Drosophila melanogaster: one gene and its partner. The gene in region 1 interacts genetically with each later gene. Each region holds a gene or a part of one and is shown on either strand. Other genes may lie near its edges.

What was found. Genes that interact genetically often act in the same process or in processes that back each other up.
Region 2: of Bbd (region 1) and Myd88, changing one suppresses a phenotype caused by changing the other (phenotypic suppression), as found in Drosophila melanogaster (one study listed by BioGRID).

The regions. Positions count from the first base shown.
Region 1 is NT_033778.4:20,532,716-20,536,376, forward strand, and holds Bbd (bombardier), read left to right. Parts: upstream 1-1,529; 5' UTR 1,530-1,810; coding exon 1,811-1,877; intron 1,878-1,938; coding exon 1,939-2,609; 3' UTR 2,610-3,120; downstream 3,121-3,661. Other genes in the region: CG30154 (uncharacterized protein), read left to right, coding at 677-737, 807-940.
Region 2 is NT_033778.4:9,302,697-9,310,429, forward strand, and holds Myd88 (Myd88), read right to left. Parts: upstream 6,027-7,733; 5' UTR 5,099-6,026; coding exon 4,573-5,098; intron 3,061-4,572; coding exon 2,771-3,060; intron 2,707-2,770; coding exon 2,538-2,706; intron 2,465-2,537; coding exon 2,278-2,464; intron 1,640-2,277; coding exon 1,198-1,639; 3' UTR 127-1,197; downstream 1-126.

The DNA.
Region 1 (3,661 bases):
AGCAACGATAAACCCACTCGACGCCGGGGGACATTGGATAATGTCAATGGCCGGGGATCCGAGGTGGGACCGAGCAGTTCCACGATATGTTTAATGGCAGTAGGAATGGAAAAAGTTTTACGTATAGCAAAGCAATTCAATTGAAAATAATTAGAAACGTAGCCACATGGCGAAACTTCTTAATTACCCGGCTATTGTGCGTCTACACTGAAATAAATATCTACTGAATGACTTAGTTAGTGGCGTAAATTAGGATTATTTTACTTTTTAAATTATATGCAAAAGCGAATATAAAAAAATATTTTTGTAAAATATAATAAATAACTTTTGACACTTTAATCCTGTTGTATATAACCATAAATTTCTCTGAGTGCATTCGACAGTGGTGGCACGATGGTTTCAATGAGAATTAAAAGAGTGCAAAGAACAGAAAATTGCATTATGCATAAGTCGCTAGAGCTTAAGCCATTATCGAATCCCTCCACGTATCCAAACATGGACAAATAAAGATACAGAGAATGCCACTAAGAGAGGGAGTGAGAGCGAGAGTCCAAAGCAATCCAAGAGATACGATTCGAATAAGAGATAGAGCGCTACTTGGCTATTGGAGCCGTATAAAACAAGTGTGTCCATATTATGCCCCATCATTGGAACATTGGAACTCCTCGGCTTGATCATGTACCTACGTCAACAACTCTGGGTTCTCTTGCTCTGGCTCTGCTTCGTCGTTCTCAGCGGTGAGTGGTGTTCTAATATCTATATCTATTATCTATATTTTTATAAACCCACATTTGTCATTTGTGAAGTGCATGGCATGCCGTGGAAATGGGGACCTGCCTCCAATTCTGGACCCCATGGCGGACCCGCCTGGAATGGCGGAGAAGAGTCCACCGACAATATAGTCATCCATTCGAAAAACAGCGGCAAGTGGCGTTACTAAATTTATCCAAGTGGCAGAGGCGTGACCACAACCAAGTCAAGCTGGATTTTACAGTAAATTTGTGAATAATTTTACAACTACTTTGCTTCGCAATTGATTTTCGTCGAACAGTACTCGATTTGTATGCTAATACTTCATTCATGGTCACACTCACTTATATATAGTCACTTTAATTGTGCACCTTTTTATCTATGACATTTAAATATAACCCTTTACTATACTGTATGTAATAGAGCCAAAATATTTAAACGAGATTAAAAGCCTAATATTGCAAATATGAATATGAAGATACAGTTTATACGGCTTTTGAAATTGTTTCCTGAATCTAACTAATATTGCAATCGAATGAACAAACCGAAATAATCTACGAAATTATAAGCTATTGATTGATATTGATTTTATTGATAAGTATGCAAACGAGCTTATGGGAATTTTTCAATTCTGATCGTCATAACAATATCAGCACGTGTTTTATAATAATTTTTTCAGAATGTTGCAAATCGCAGCGCACCCAACTTTTCAGTTTCTATGGCATATCTGCGTACTTTTGGCCTGGCTAAAAAGCGTTCTTGATTTGACACAGTTCCCCCCACTCTCTCGATCCGTCTAAATCGAGAGTGAATTGGCAAGCCGGTGACGAAGTGCCTCTGTCGCTCAACCGCAAGTAAACAAAACAAACCCGTCGGTGGCAATTCCCGGTAGACTGCACCGCTGACCTCCTCCGTCTTATCTGTTATTGCGCGAGAGTCACTGTCACTGAGAACCGATCTCATAGAGTATATAGAACGAATACGGCGCGATGAGCCGATATTTTTATGGGATAGTATAAATAGCTGGCATCGCACTTGGCATTGGCATAGTCAATGCAAAATGGGCTCGAACACTGGAGCTTGGATTCTACTGGGCCTGCTGGCCGGCATCGCCTCTCTGTCTAGCGGTGAATATATAGATATACTTTGTATGTGCAGATAGAAAAAAAATAAATTGTATTTTTATAGCTGCGAATATACAGCGAAATGAGGACCAGACGATTCTTCAGAACAATGGAAACACCTTCCTATCAAACGGAGCCGGGCAAATCATTCGTGGACCCGATGGCAAAACAGTATTGATCGGATCCGATGGGCGCAGGATCATCACGGATGCCGACTCCAGCGAAGAGGACAGCTCGCACGATTATGGTCACGGTGGGAGCTATAACAATGTTATCATCAATGGTGGCTCGGGATCCAGCGTAATTCATGGCGATGGACATAGCTTCATTGTTGGAGATGCGAGTCATGGAAGTTACATGAACAGCAATGGACGCAGTATTAGGATCATAAATGGTGCCATCGAACTCAATGATCACGGCCAGGTGTACACATTCAGGCCAAAAGCAGCAGGCATTAACGAAAAGGAAACCGTCACCATCAACGGACAACCGGCTCAGGTGGAGTACTCCAATGGTGATATAGTCATCGAACTGGCCGATCATACGGTGATTGCCAAGATAGGTGGACGCACATTTCTGGGCGATCGCGAATCCTTCGACAATCGGGATAAATTAGAGGCGGAGGCAAAGAACTATGCCGATCGTATCCAGCAAGAGGTGCACGCCAATCTCCAGAAAACCATGGCTGATATTCAAAGGGATCTTCAGAATTCCCTGGGAAATATTTTCTATTAGAAGCCAAGTAATCAATCGTACACGAGTCGCTCGAAATAAAGCGCCTTTGCAGCAATTGTCTTGACTTTAATTGTCTTATCTATGGTTTACAAGCTAAGATGTTCTAAAAGATACATATCTAGTGTGTAATCCAAGTACAACAGACCCCAGACATGAGGCGTCTTTGGGCATAATCTTCCCATTTGACCGGCCTGAGGCCACAAACGTGTGGGTGGTTAGGTCAATTAATGGGAAATGACGCCCGGCAAATGTGATTGATTAGCGGGAAACTCACCGTATAGGCAGCTTATGGGGCGGCTAAATCTAATGCTTAGTATCGCCTAACAGACTAGGTTTGTATGGGCGTGTGGCGATTGGAATACAATTACCGAGCTTGCGGCGGTGTTTATGAACACTTCTTGGTATTTAAATGACGGAATTTCCCAACGAATCTTCGTAAATAAGACCAAGGTCTCTTATTCTTTATATTTGTGTTTTCCAAGCTAACTTAATAAATTCTTAATTAATGGCCTTGATCTTTTGTCAGCCACAAATTGTCTAATTGCATTGCTGTATACATTTGCTTGTTTATGAAAAATGCTTTTAATTGAATTAGGGTGGGTCGAACGAAATTTCTGCTTATTTTGTATTTCTAAATCGAGATTTGAAATTAAATTTCCATCGATGTTAAATCTTAAATTTCTATATCAGGTTGACAGTTATATATTTAATAAACTGCTACAAATTTGTTAAGTGAGAATGCTATAGTCGACTTGGGCAAATCGATAGAAATTTACAAGACAAATAAAAATATATAAAAAGTTTTAGTTTTGGGCGGCTTGTCGGCGTAAGAGGGATCGTTCAGAATGTGTAAGGTTGATCTAGAGCTTGATTTGCAACCCATAGTCAGTACAAACCAAGTATCTTATCTGTGTCCTTGTTGTCCATTTCGAAGATTGATTCGCTGCCATTTCCCATTTTCAAATTCAATGTCAATTCTGTTAATATGAGCGGAATGAACGCAGTGGATGGATATGTGGGGTGAACTTTTTATCTTAATGACTTTATTTATA
Region 2 (7,733 bases), about 11 Mb from region 1:
GTCTTGTAGATTAACCGGAACTGGTCGATAAACATTTCCACTCAATATGTACGCGAACAACTGTATGTAAATACATATACGGGGATTCACACATCAACTGCAATGTTTATTAAACATGAACGAACTAAAGGTTGTCTACATTCAACAATAAATTATTGAGCCAAACATTGAACAGTTTATTGCCGCTCAACTGGAGCTAGCTTATTTCCGATATGGATACAGTGCGTTTCATAACCATGACCGCCAAGTGCCACGTGTCGCGAAGGTCGAAGTTCGAGCGTTCGATGCCCGACATTGAGGAACATATGTATATTGCGTTTTATCCACATTCGTTGTCGCTTGACAAAAGTTGGACATAATATATGGTTGTCGATCGACTCTATATGGTTTTGAAACGCACTGTCCGGAGATACATATAATACTATATAGACTCTAGATACATTGAAAGAGACGATGTGATGATGGATGACGTATTGATAGTCTTTGCTTTATAACAAGTGAGTGTGCTTAGGTGCACATCAGGCATATGGGCACGCATTCACAGCAATCAGTAACAATCGGTAACAGCTAGGCTAGAGCTAATCACATGAGGCAACCAGCCGATGGCGGTACCGAGAACAAACAGTTTACTTATTGCTAGCAATCGTCTAAAACGGCTTGAGCAGTTTACAAAATGATAAAGCACTGCTCGCACAATGCAGCCATATGTACGTATGCGTTATATATGCTCATTACTCATTCTCAGATGGGGTCTGAGTTGCGAGAACGGCGCGCGAGATAATTAAATTAAGTAAGTCACTTATCGAACGCGTGACTAACAGTTAATTGAGCACTTCGATTAGCAGTGTCGCGTATTTAACCTCACTCAACGCAATTGCCAATTTGTCTGTTTATCAAGTCCAGAGTCATATACATAGAGCATATAGCAATATCGTGTCGTATTTGGTAGTCTGTGTGCTTTTGTGATACATTTGTGCGGATATGTGGTATTGTCTTTATTCGTTGTTGTCTTATATAAGTTAACAAGTGCGTCTAAGTATATTAAGTTAGTTGACTTGATAAGGATTAGGCTAAAGATTATCACTAGGCATGGAGGGTGACGACATTGGTGACTGGGCGGCCACAACTAGACTGGGCACACGACAAGGAATCAAAGAATCGAGAAATCGAATGAATGGCTATCCTAACACTATGATCTCAGCCCGGCGTCTGCAGCTTGCTGCTGGATCGCGAGAATAGGGCCTTCTTCAGGATGTTCGGCTGCCACTTGATGAAGCTCTTCTTGCTCTCCGACGTGGTGGAGATGTTGGAGCTGCTGGCACTGAGTGTCCTCTCGCGTTCCGTGACATTTATGGTGCTGACGGAGTGGGCATGACGCAGAGTCTTGCCGCTGGCCCCATCGCTCCGCGCCGTCTTTCCAAAGCTGTGCGTGATTCTGCGCAGGAAGCGATCCTTTTTCTTCGGCTTGTGCTCCGGCAGGGGTGAGCCGGTGTCACCGGAAACCGAAACGATTGTGGTCTCCGCCTCCGGCACTTTGCAGCTGTTGTAGTTTGGCATATCAGTGACATCCTTGTCGTTGATCTGAATCCGAATGCTGGGAGTGGTCACCCGGGGAGCCGATTCCTCCACCGGCGAGGGACTGCATAAAGAAATTTTAGAGAATGCCAAATTTATGATATGAGTGATAAAATTCCAACATGTTTTACAATTAACAGCAAAACTAATTTCGCTTCAATATAATCTTACGCCCAGATATATAATACATTTATTTCCTGTTTATAAATTTGTTTCAAATTTGATTACTCATATGCAGTGTATTACTTCCTGGGCACTTTAAAAGTCGTATGAGTTCATCTTTCTGAAACAAACGTATCTTCTTTGAATTTAGCAAAACTAAATAAAAATACCTGCTAGGCTGTTCTAAGGTTGATCGCTCGTACGCCATGTGATATTTGCTTATATATTTTGTTTACAAGCAGTTGGTATACATTTGCACATTTTATGTGAATGTTGTGAAACGATTTCGCAGCCCCTACAACCAGCAGTAGCAATAATTGAACAGTAAAATCAAAAACTTAAGCTAATAAAATGTATTCTAAAACAGCTTCTTAAATTGGGATGACTAGACTACTTCATGTATTCGTATTCAGTTTGCAAACCTCATTTATCTGTTGGCTAGCAATCTACATTATCTTGAGATTTTATACCCCTAAAAATGTATCAAGTATTTTTGGAACACATACATATACATATATCGCAGGAAGTAGCAACACTTACGTCTGCACCTGGCGCGTGGAGTAGATCGAAAAGGCATCCAGATCGTGTAGGGAACGAGCCAACTTGTCCCAGAAGTTGAACAACTTGGAGTCCCCGGCGTACTTGATGTGCGTGTAAATGCCCAGGGTCTGGGGTATGTGCATGTCCGTTTTGTACAGAATCGGTATGATCTTGCGAGTGTGATTCTCTGGGGAAAGTCAGATCGTTGAACTTGTAATGCGACTCTGGCTCTGCGATACAAATGCGTATCAGCTACTCACCAATCTGGATCTTTTGGGTGAAGTTCACGAGGTACGTGTTCTCCGGACTCCGAAGAAACTCCTCTGTGAGCACGACGATCAGGTGATTGCAGCGGGTGGCCATGAAATGGGATAGCTGGACATGCTCGAACGGAACGCCCATTAGCATGTCGCGGTGGCGCAGGAATAGCTGCAATAGAACGATCCCATGGTTATTTAATACAACACACAGCAACCGAGCGCATCCCACTCACCCTGAGATTGTATCGCTCAGACTCTAGATTATTCATGATCTCGGTGGCATGATCGATGTCTGCCTCCGCGTACAGAACACATGCGTTGTATCTGGGCAGCGGTTGGCCCATCTGTACACATCTCTGGTCCTCGTCGCTGAGGATCTGCACACTTTGGCCCACTGTGATGTTGTTGCTGCTGCTGTAGTTGTTGTTGGTCTCGAAGCAGTCGCTGGGGGGCGGCGGACACGCCTCCACGAGAGCAGTCTGTCGCTGCTCCTGTTTCATGATGAAGCGCTGGGTGTCCTTGGCTTTTGAGGAGAGCAAAATTAAAACAGTTTTACTAAAGGGATTATGATTGCTAAAAACTACAAGGCCGCACAAAAAGTTTTCTTAACACATCATTCGTAAAGTAAACAACACAATTTATACATGTTAATGTCAAAATCAAATTACTTAAATTATGTTTATTAAATAATAAATATAACCCTTTGTTGATATATAATGAGCTTAAAGGAATGGCATAGTGAAGTTTATCTGAGTTTCTGCACACAGTCGCTAATATATGAAGCTTTCATAACAAATTGGTAGTATTTATGATTTGTAACTCAATATTATGTATGAATAGATAAGTGTATGCATATATCCATTCAGATGTCTGCCATTGTCTCCCCATCTTTTTATTCCAAATATATTGTCAGCAGAAAAGATCATTCTAGTAAGAGGTAGTGAATTCTAGATTCAAGCAGTTATCATCAACGACACATTTATAAAAAATTTACTTTTTTAGTTATTTTTAGTTTTATTGGAATATTTCTAAAACACCCAATGAAAGATCATTAGAAAAGGAATTCAAACATTTCCTTTGAAAAATTCCTAATACGATTTTAATTATGTGTGCTTTTTTATACCTTAAGCATTCAACTTCCGAGTGCGTTCATTTGTTTTTAAATCGAACCATTTTGGTCACAACGAATATATCTATACAACATCTGCTCCTAAACAAAATTGACTGTTCGAGGTTTTTTATTAATGACAACAGTTTTTGCTGGGTGAATCCCCATTGTGCAAATAAATAAGAAAATTTCGTTCTTAACTGATTGGCATTTTCTATAGTTTAAGTTCTGTTGTTTGCGGCTTTTAGAAATTATTGTTTTGAATTTTTTCTTTATGGCTGTGTGTTTTTCAATTTGTCGGGATGTGGTAATAAAAATCTTGTAAGTCGAAGCGTTTTATTTGACAATAAATAGAAATAAACACAAATTAATCATGGGAAAGTGGGTGACTTTTATTTCTGTCATTACGTATCTACTCATCATAACTCAATAGTTTTATGTATCCGACGATAAGCTTTGTTTGACTTAGATAAATGTGCGATAGATAAGTTAAATATGTACGCTTTCTGCATATACTCCCTATATTATATAGATTACCACGTCCATTTTTATAAACTCGAAACGGCTTTTCCGGTCATAAAACCAAAAATGGATCAGCCAAAAATAATTGATAAGTGTGGCTCGCCATTAAAGTAAAATTTAATGGTTCATTTTCCGATTTCCAACATTTGTGTACATATCATTTGATAAGTACATTATTTAAAATTCCTCTTCAACTTCGCAAACTCGAGAACAGTCAAACATACATAGTTAGTCTAGACGTTTAACTAAATTTTCACTGTCACGATGGCATTTTGAAGTAAAAGTCGAATCGTCAGACCATCATTTAAAAGCTAATCTAAAACAAATGATACTCAAAACTCAAGTGACATAGTTTAGTTATAGATAGATAGCGACTACCATAAGTAAAAAATAGTTAATGCCTACCCAGATTCTCCTGGATATCGTCGCAGACGTCCCACCGATCGATAATGCCCAGGAAGTGTTCCAGATGGCCCACCTTGGCGGTCTGGGGACTCCGCTGGCTCCAGCTGATCAGCACCAGATCCATGGGATTGTTGGCGTTCTCGTCGACGAATCCCTTCTGCTTGGCCAGCTCCGAGATGCCGCGCCAGTCCCGCTGGTAGCCCTCCTCGGATCGCAGCACCTTCTTGCGGTTCAGCATGCGGGACAGCTGGGTGCGGGTCTCGATGCCCAGTGCGGATAATGGGGTCTCGTTGAAGTGCCCCAAGCCCGTTCCCGTGCCCGATCCCGACCCGGAGTCCATAACTCCCTCGGCCACCACCATGCCAGCGGTGCGATAACGCCGATAACTGACGTCAGTGGCGCCGTAAATGTGATGGTGATGGGGCGGATTGGGATGGCGGTGGGTATGGTGATGGAAGTGGGAGTGGGGCTGGTAGTGGGAATGGGCCACCGAGTGCTGCTGATGGCATACAAATCGAGGGCGCATTCGCACTTGGCGCTGGCTTTATTGGAATAATTGGTGTTTGTTTGCTGGCGTATTTGTTTTAGTGTGGATGCGATGTGATGCGATATATATTTATCAACTGACGTTTATCAGTCGAGAGGGCGGCGAGCAATAAAACGATGAAGCGCGTGAGTTGTGCTGCTCTGTAGATTTTTTCGAGTTTTCCGATCGCGCGTGCTTGTTTTTTTTTTGTTTTTTGCGGGCGGATGAAGCTGAAACTGGTTAGAAGGGGGTGGTGCTTTACTGCTAAACTTCTATACTTCAGTGCGGTGCGAAATGGACCGAGTGACCTCCAGCACCTTGCCGCGTCACAGTCGCGTTGTTGTTGCTGTCTCGGATTCTGTTTTTATTTATCTGTCTGCTCCGCTGCGAGAGGAGATGGAGATCTTCGCCTTCGTTTTCGTCGCGTTTTTTATTCGTCTGGCGTATGATTTTTTGAATATTGTTTAAATATACACAACACACACACTCACAATCAGTGGCGCACGCACACAGTGTCGCCCTAAGCACAGAAATAAATTCGTTTCGCTTTTTTCGAGTGCGTCCGCTCCGGTTTGTTGTTTTGTTTCGACTGGTTCTGTCCGCCGTTTGTGCTTTTGTTTCTGCCTCGTTGTCCGCTCCTCCTCCGCCTCCTCCCCAACGGACTACTCTTCGCGCTCACTCTCCCGCGCTCTTTCTCCACCGCCTTTCACTCGCTTGTTTATTTTGGTTTCGTTCCGATGCAGGGCGAAAGCGCGGGGGCCACAGGCGGAACTATCAGCTCAGCTGCTTTTTCTAGTCGGCTGACAACACTCTGTTTGCACTGGCTAATTGCTAATTAATTTATCTGCGCTGCGTTCCCACTTTTCAGATCAGATCGCGATTCCGATAAGCTCGTGGCGATCGATGGGCAAAAGCTTGGCGAGTCACAGCTTTTCGGGTGGCCAGTCATCGGCGAGGTTTGGTACTTTATCGGGGCCAGTTATCGGTTGCGGTATTTTTGGTGCGCGGGCCACACTTTAATAGGTTCCAAAAGCATTCACCAGATGGCGCTCTAAGAGTGGTTGACTTAATTTCCGGTTGGTTAAATATAATTTAGGAACGTTGGTTCTTGCCGTAGGATTCCTAATTATTCATAAGCATAATTGATAATGATTTCTTGCTAGTGCAAAAGCAAGAAGAGTAGTAAAGTGAGTAAAAACGCACTCTCCTATTCGACCGGCTGATGTAGGCAATCTAACTCCTTTCAGTTATGCAGAGAATGGTACCTTTAATGGTGCCTCAAAAAGGAATATTTTACATTTCGACCTGTCCAAGACATACTTACTCATTTTACCGAGAAATATTGCTTCCCCGAAATCAACTGATTTGAGACGATAATGTGGGGAAATGAACATGCCAACCAAGGACCACACTCTCGTAAATAATAGTCAGAGAGCACTTGTAAATTCAGTTTATTTTCATTTGATTTTGTTTGTTCTTTGTGTGGTTGATGCCTGCACCTCAACGCTTTTCATTTTCAGTTACAAATACTGAGATATACTTACTACACAGGTGACACAAATTGATTTATCGCTTTTATGGCTTTGTTTGACTTTTTCTTTCGATTCAACATTTCTTGCTTTGCTTGATGAATAAAACGCTGAAGGCGTTCAAATGTATTTTAAATATATTTGTTTTGCTTTTTCATGGTTTATTTTTGTAGTTTTCGTTTTTCGGTCGGCGTTGCGTTTTGCATTGCCAGCAACAATTAACAGTAAAAGTTGATGCCTTGCACACAAGTTGAAGTTGAAGTTACCTGCTTTTGTTTGAATTCCGTTGTTAATTTATTTAATGTTGATTTACTCGGATAAGCCCCATCATTAGTTATTAATGTACCTACTTGGTATTTACTCATTTGGTTTGTTTGTGGCTCTATTTACAATACATCTGCCTGTGTGTGGTGTGGTTTGTGTGTCTTTCTTTGTATTTCGTTCATTTTTCACTTGTAAATAATTGCTCAAACTGGATTGGGCACCAAAAGTCTCTCGTTCAAAGGCTAAAAAGTTTGATTTTTTTCTCGAGAAATAATTTCGTTATTCATTAATTTATGCTTGCTGCGTGTTTGTGTTTAACCTGTGTCATTATTCAATATTCATTGGTATTTCGCCCTAGAACGTTTCGAGTATTTCAATTACATCAATTTACTTGCTTCGATTGTAGTTGTTTGTATAATAATTCAGCTTACATTTTTACACTTAGCTAGCCATAAATATAGACATTAGTTGTGTTCTTTTAATTAGGTCTCCCCTACCTCCTTCATTCAGTTAATCTCCTTTTTACTTTCGTTAGTTTAAGCATGCAGTTAAATCAATTTTGCAAACCTAGTGGATATGCTCTGCCCCATGTGTTAAATGCAATTACTAAGTATATTGTTGTTTGATTGTATATACTAAATATCCTTTGTGACTGCCTGGCGACAAATTTGATTATTTTAGCCTCTGTTTTAGCCTGTGTGTATTTGTGGTCAAATTCGAATGGCTTTCTGGGCCAAAATGCGTATCTTACAAATCTGAATGAGGTGTGTGATTCTTTGTCCCAGATGTACTTGCATTGCATTTAACAACGACCCGCTCTAAGTAGATTAAATGTTTAAGTT